Linked DNA regions of Danio rerio. The protein of the gene in region 2 interacts with the protein of the main gene of each other region in a pairwise test. Links are inferred from orthologs where the notes say so. Each region holds a gene or a part of one and is shown on either strand. Other genes may lie near its edges. The genes, in order: shcbp1 and shc1.

Evidence for each region.
Region 1: the proteins of shc1 (region 2) and shcbp1 interact in a two-hybrid assay, tested with the Homo sapiens proteins (2 studies listed by BioGRID, with this or other methods). The link is inferred for Danio rerio from reciprocal best matches to the Homo sapiens genes SHC1 and SHCBP1.

What each region holds. Positions count from the first base shown.
Region 1 is NC_133182.1:46,406,983-46,410,816, forward strand, and holds the end of shcbp1 (SHC SH2 domain-binding protein 1), read right to left. Parts: intron 1,488-3,834; coding exon 1,144-1,487; 3' UTR 659-1,143; downstream 1-658. UniProt on the Homo sapiens protein: May play a role in signaling pathways governing cellular proliferation, cell growth and differentiation. May be a component of a novel signaling pathway downstream of Shc. Acts as a positive regulator of FGF signaling in neural progenitor cells.
Region 2 is NC_133191.1:24,101,638-24,105,471, reverse strand, and holds part of shc1 (SHC-transforming protein 1), read left to right. Parts: intron 1-1,603; coding exon 1,604-1,661; intron 1,662-1,988; coding exon 1,989-2,105; intron 2,106-3,792; coding exon 3,793-3,834. UniProt on the Homo sapiens protein: Signaling adapter that couples activated growth factor receptors to signaling pathways. Participates in a signaling cascade initiated by activated KIT and KITLG/SCF.

The DNA.
Region 1 (3,834 bases), on a different chromosome or scaffold from region 2:
TATATATATATATATATATATATATATATATATATATATATATATATATATATATATACTTCAATTCTACTTAAAGACTTTGACCTATAGTAAGAAAATTACCGTCAATAACTCTTTTAGACAAAAATAGGCATTCGCTGTACAAACCGGTTGCCATTTTTGGACAGCAGTTTAATGTGACCACTGGACAATAACAATGCTGAAACTGACATGATACAAGAGAATGGATAATTTGACAAATAATTAACATTCTTTAATTGTTCCCCATCTAATTTCCTGCAATTAATTTGCATTGTTATATTTTATATTAATGTTCTTAAAAATAAATTATGCTTTAGTAGTTCTCTCCCTGTCCTCTCATGACATTAGTCTCACAGCAGTTGTTTGGCAAACACAGGTCAAGTTGCAGCTCATTAAAGGAAAAGTTAGAGCTCTTCTTTTTCTTTAATTTACAGAACAACATGCAGGATTATGGAATTAAACAAATGTCTTCATTGTAATGTTGTTTATCTTTAATTTTCTGGGAATTAAGCAAAATTATTATTTTTTAATTAATGAAAAGTCAAATTTGTGTGACAAAAGGAACCCCAACGCACCGCACAAGCAGTAACTCTCTTAATCTGCCATGCTTCTTTAACAAAACTACATTACACTGCCATTTAGAACAATAAAGCATCTTTATTACTTCAAAAAATAAAAAATAAATAAAGACAATCAAGGGGGAAAGGTCCAAAGGACTTTGTAGGGACCAGAAATATTTGTGTGCTTATTAGTGACTGTATGAACCATTAAATTAATGTGTGGACAAAGCATAAACTGTATGAACCCTGAAGAAAAACAAACAAACTATTTGTGTCTATGAACATGCTTGTTCTGAAGTAGAACATGGTGTGAACAGAAAATGTAAACACTCTTTTGGTGTAATTATGTGTCCTTGTATTTTAGTGTTCAAAATAGTTTTAAAAAAGACAAATATTAAAAATAGAATGTTTAAAAGGCTAGAAATGTTAGCGCGTTTAATTCATCTTTCATTACATTCACACAGTAGTTAATACTAGCTCAAAGTAAACGAAGCAAAATTGGGGAATTACACAATAAATAATTAAAGGGTAAAGTGTGTGTGCAGGCCTGCATTGAGATGCTTCAGTAATGGAAGGTACCAAAGCTTCCCTTTCCATTGTGCTTAAATTGATTTCCATGAATGGAAATGAACATTTCCTGTGAGAGTAGATTCTCATCAGCCTGCATGTCACCTAATGCTTTCATCCGGCTCTTCTGACGTCCAAGTTTTCTGGCCGAGGTGGCAACTAACTCTTGTTTGATGGCATCATTTCCTTCACAGTCTGGAGGAATTGTGCAGCTATATTTGATGGATGGGCATTCTTCCTCTACCACAATGATGGGAACATTAACCCCAACATCATCATCGTCGTTCATATCTGCATCTGGTTTTACTCCCATGTCTTCATATACTTCCTCTTTCTCATCTGATAAAACACAAAAGAAACAACAGCGTTAAGAACAGATATGGTTTTGAAATTATTTGTTTTGTGTTGTTGTTGTTTTATCTAAAAAATTAAACCTCAAAAAGAAACTATAAACTATAAAAGATGCAATTTTAAAAATAGCTACAGGTTCTCAGCTTTCTTCAAAATATTACTTAATACATACTTTTGATTTGATCAGAAGAGCCTCATGAAGGTTTGAAACCTAAAACCTAAATAGGGAGAGTAAATAAGGAGTATATTTTCATTTTTGGATGAACTTACTCTTTAATTGCTCCCAAAACTTGTATCATTTATCTGTTTAATTAAAAAAAAAAAAAGCTTAAAACTGGTAGTCCCCCACTACGGTACCCATAGTAGGGATAAAATATTGCGGATATCAATAGTTAAAGCTGATGTCTTAAAATGTCTTCAAATGAAAACATCAAAATGAAAAAAAAAATCAAATAAGTTTTTGAACAAGTGGATGGTGAGTAAATGATGGGTAAACTTTCCCTGTAATCTCTTTTAAAACCTTTGTGATAATGTACGAGTTTGGAGAATAGAGTGGAAACCTTGTTTCTGGCCTTTATTCTCCCTCAGGTTAAAGCATCATTCACACAGCCAGCAACTTTGTAGCGATGTTTCGGCCTGGGTGGTGATAGAAGTCGCTAATGGGCATTCCCTCCTTGAGATTGCTTATATAACATTTATGAATGAGACGGCGCATGAGTTTTGTAAGACTAACTATAATTTTAATTTCTTGTGCTCTGTCATTGCAGCTATTTATCTGCATTAGAGTACAGTGCAGAGAATACAAACAGCTAGTAAGAAAATGGATCACTTGAGCTATCCTCAAAAATGCTCTTCATTTGCATAAAGTTTAACGTCTTGTCGCTAAACACACCTACACCCAGTCGCTATCACTCATGTAGTTGGAGATCGTCAGAAGTCACCAGCTCTCCATTGAAATGAATAGTCACTTGTTGCTTTGTAACTGCGAGCTGCTGGTAGAGTAAATGAGGCTAAAGCCAAATGTCAAATTCTTTGCCTTTTCCCTGATTAAAAAGCTGAATTTCCATGACCTATGATGAACAGAAATACAGAGAGCTGTTCTATTGAGCACTGATCAGACGAAACCAACCACACAGAGTATTTTAACAGGAGCACACCTTGGAAGCAGTGCTAATAAGCTTAGGGTTTCAGTTTCTCATTCCCAATGGAGGCATGCAACTCGCACGATGCTCATATGTGGGCGATGCGCATGTGTTGTGCAACTGGTACACACGTGAACCACGTTCATTTTCCAGCTGTAGAATGCCCTGAGCGCACCGCAATTAATGAAAGTAGAACTTGCCAATGTCCTTCACGCTTTGTATGGAATATACGCATTTCAGGAATAACGGCAGACTAATCACCTCAGACAAACACAGTGCATCCAAACATTGCAACAGTTTTTTTTTTTTTCTACATAAACTTGTGTCGGAGCTGCAGCAATGGTTTGTCCGTTTGTCATCCTCTAAAAAAATAATTGATGGTCATCTAGTAACGAGAGATGCCAGGGGATTGTGAGCGCCTAGTCTATTGTAAATGTTCAAGATATTCACGCGTACGCGCTTGTCACTTCAACAACAAATGAGAAATTGAGTACCGTAAAGCAGCAGTGAGGAGATTGTAAAAAAAAAAAAAAAAAAAAAAAAAAGGATGTAAAGATGTTGCCAGAGTGGCTTTTTGGTTTCTTTTCTTGTGCATCCTAGCCACGAACACCCCATATGAAAGATTTTTTAGCATAGTGCATAAACATTTTATCTATCAAGTTTAAGAGTCTCTTTAACACTGATGTTTATTTTATTATGAAGAGATGAGATATTTTGTTTAAATATTTTTGTTTTTGACTATTAAAACTATTTAACTTAGTAATGTTGGTAAATTAAAAAAAGAGGCTAAAAAAAATGTATTATAATATTCCTAAACGTATAGTTCAAATAAATAATATACTGATAATTATATCATTATTTAAAATAATTATCGATATTGAACTATATGAAACATGCTACTGTGAACATTTTTTTGCAATATTCCCCAGCCCTGCACAATATTAATTTTTGAGAATATTCATTAAATTCATGTATGGAAAGTAGGCAACACAGATAGACACATGACAAAAACACTCTCTCATTCAGCATTCCAGCAGGAAGCAACAGGAATGGTTGTAGTCATTCAGAAAATGATAGGGTACAATAAAAGGATGTGTTGAAACATGTAGGACTCTCCCATAAATGAGGGGTTTTTGCACTAAAAGTAAACCCTGCTGTTCCCAGCAAACAAAACATTAAAGACAAACAATACC
Region 2 (3,834 bases):
TCTCAAAGGCTTGATTGTGTTTATTTGTTTTAAAAATATCGAATTGATTTTTACACATTTAACCTCTTTGTGGTTCTATTAAAATGTCATCCTCAACGTCTTATGATTGCTTTGCTGGTCCAGTGTGTTCTTATTTGTTGGCCTCCTTTTGCACATTGAAGGAAACGTTTCGCCAGTAACTAACTAACTAACAAACTAGCTAGCTAGCTAATTAACCTAAACTAAAGTGTTACTAAAAAGAAATCACAATCAATGACCTTGTTAAAGGGATTGTTCAACCAAAATTGTACATTCATTCATTAATTTTCTTTTCAGCTTAGTCCCTTTATTATTCTGGGGTCGCCACAGCAGAATGAACAGCCAACTTATCCAGCACATGTTTTAGGCAGCTAATGTTCTTTCAGCTGCAACCCATCTCTGGGAAACATCCATACATACTCATACTCTATGGACAATTTAGCCTATCCAATTCACCTGTACCGCATGTCTTTGGACTGTGGGGGAACATGCAAACTCCACACAGAAACGTCAACTGACCCAGCCGAGGCTCGAACCAGCGACTTTCTTGCTGTGAGGTGACAGCACTACCTACTGCGCCACTGCTTTACTCTTTTTGGTAGGGAAATGTCCTTAAGCTGGGATTCGAACTCGGGACGACCTGACATGCTACAGCACCATATGTCGACACACTAACCACTAGGCTATTCTGCCGTCCTAAAATTGTACATTTTAATAAAATACACAGAGAAAAAAATATTGTTGCAAACTATTTATATGGGTTGAATTTAAACAAACAAATTGAATGTAGTAATGTTTAATTTGATTATTTTATTTGTTTGTTAAAATTCAGACCAAATGAATTGTTTGCAACCACTTACCTTAAAAAAAATTGTATAAGTAAAGTCAATGAATATTTTATTCAGTGTATTACCTCACCCTCAAGTCGTTTCAGGCATTTATTTGAGTACAAAAGAAGATATTTTGAAAAATATTAATAACTTGTAACTATTGACTTCCATAGTAGAAAAAGCAAATACTATGGAAATCAATGGTAGCAGGTTTTCAACATTTTTCAAAATATATTTCTTTTGTGTTCAACAGAAGAAAGAAAGAGGTTTGGGACATGTGAATAATGAGTAAAGGATGACATAATTTTGTCTTGGTTGAACTATCCCTTTAAGACCCAGAGGATAGAACATACATACATTCAACAGTTTATAAATGTAATCTTGTTGTATTACTGTCTTAATACATTAAACATTATCAAAATAATAGATTTAGGAAATTAAATTTAGCATATTACAGCCATATATTCAAGGTGTACCGAGTTTAATTAAATCAAATATTAGTAAAAATATGTTCATTTGTTGTTTGAACATACTGAAATCAGTGTTGATGGCTCTTAAAAGTCTAAAAATGCCCCAAATTATTCCCAAACTAGAAACTAAAACTCAACTTACTTAAACTTTGGCTTCCAAAGAGAGACTTCAGGGTACAAGAAGCATGATTCAGTGTATAAAAATGAATTAAATTGCTTTGTTCATTCATGAAACACCCACACTGAATAAATATGTCACCATCCCACTGCACTGTATCTCCACAGCCCTATGGACAGCCGAGCCAGAACGACATTCACAAGCAGCCTCTTCCTCCACTACCAGGTCAGATTTACACACAACAATAATCCCTGTCCTAGTCATTTCATGCTGCCACACAGTATTTGTCTGTCATATAGTCACACTTCTCCTGCTTTAATTCCCCTGTCGGCCGAGACTGTCATTGTGCAGAGTGAGTCAGCGCTTTTTCTGCTACTGTTCGTTGCTCTTTGTTGGACGCTGCCCAAATCTATTACACAGCTCCTTTGAGAGGTGCCTTCTGGATCAGCGGCATTGCTGACAATAGAACGGCACCGCTTAAGTGCACTCACCTGAAGGTTAACTCACTTTAACTTCACCTTTGTTTTTCTTTTGTGTTCTTTTTTTCTTTAGTGGGTGTTAAGGATGGAGGCTTGTTTGACGACCCCTCATACGTTAATGTGGATAAACCCCGCCTCCCAGCATCAGCAGCAGCCAATGGAAATGCTCATAGAGACGCGTTTGACATGAGTGAGTGATGGATGCTTGGTGACTTTTTGTAATATTTTAATGATTTATTTATTGTGCAGGGTTCCCGATCAGGTCAGTGGTTCAGATTTTTACTTGCCCTGCCAAAATTTTCACTGGCTCCACCAAAAAAAAAAAAGTTATTGGCTATTTCTTAGCCACATATTTTAAATAATGTGTTAAAAGCCAAACATAATTGTATACATACATTTTTTATTCAGCAGGACATATATATGTCTATATAGGATATATATATATATATATATATATATATATATATATATATATATATATATATATATATAAAAACGAGAAGTGCCATGAGATTTTTAATGACCTCAGAGAGTGAGGACTTCAGTTTAACGTCTCATCCCAAAGACAGCGCTCACTTCACTGTGTTCACACCAGACGAGGAAAGCGTGGATATATTGTGCTATTCGCGTGTAAATAGACGCATGAACATTTGAGTTTACTTGCTGTTTTCGTGCGTCAAAATCGCTTCTTTCACGCATCAAACCCTGCTTAATTCGCGCATCAAATCCGATTCATTAGCGCGTCAAATCTGATTCATCCGCTTGAAAATCACTTCAGAACAGACGCTAATTCACGTGGTGGGCAGGGCTTCTGTCTGCCCGGTGACTGTAGCTTCATTGCTAAATGTCTAACATAGATTTTATTGAGAAAATAACAGTGTTTATGTGCTTTATGAAGGCTGAAAAACAGCGTTGATACGTTTGGAGCAGTTCACTAGATCCTTTCAGAGGTGCACCCAGCTCTGTGAGCTCATAAACTCCTCTAGAAACTTAAACTAGATGATGGAAGCATTTAGCGGTGCTTCTGACTGAGCCAAGCCCAGTTGATGAACTGTTGTTGGTGTAGACAGGGAATTTTCCCCCGGGACACCAACAACAGGCGCTACGTCATAATCACGTCCACACAAGAGCAAGCTCCTGATTGGTAAACGCGGCACGAATGTCCGCTGAAGTTTAGATTTTTGAACTTGAATGATTCATGCGAAAAGCGAGTCAAACGCGCAAAACATTCAATTTGCGCCGTGCCATTCACATGTATTGAGTCATTTGCTTCGCACCATGCCATTCATGCATATCACGGTGCAGGATGTCTATTCACGCCTTTGCCTTGACTTAACATGTAAATCATTCCCACTTGATGCTTCTTCCATGTCTGGTGTGAACACAGCATAAAAGTATAGTGTCCCCTTAACTTCACAGGGGCATTAGGGTTGAGTGCCCCCTGCTGCTAGTAACAGTATTAATTTGTTGAAGCCATGTTATACTAAAAAAAACAAGCAGACAAAAACTTGTGAAACAAATTTGACAAATTCTTTGTAACAATGAAAAAATCTTCATTGTCTGTTTTGTTTGTTTTTTATCGTATTGACCCCACATTTTTGTACAGGTTTCTATCATTTTACAAAACCAAACATTCAATAAAAACCATAAAGCATAATTTAATGAATAAAGTATGGACCTAATAAATTTTACGCTTGATGATAGCTTATTTACAATTGAATGTGGTAAAGCAGGGTAGTATGCTGTGTTTTTTCCTATTTTGAAAACAATACTTTGGTTTACTATACTTAGTAAATTAGTTCAGTAATACTGCAGATGTAGATTCACAGAGTAAAAATGCTCCAACCATCCAGTGATGCTCTGCTTTCTTTCTTCAGAACCGTTTGATGCAGCGCTCGTTGTGTCGGGTGCAGTGGCAC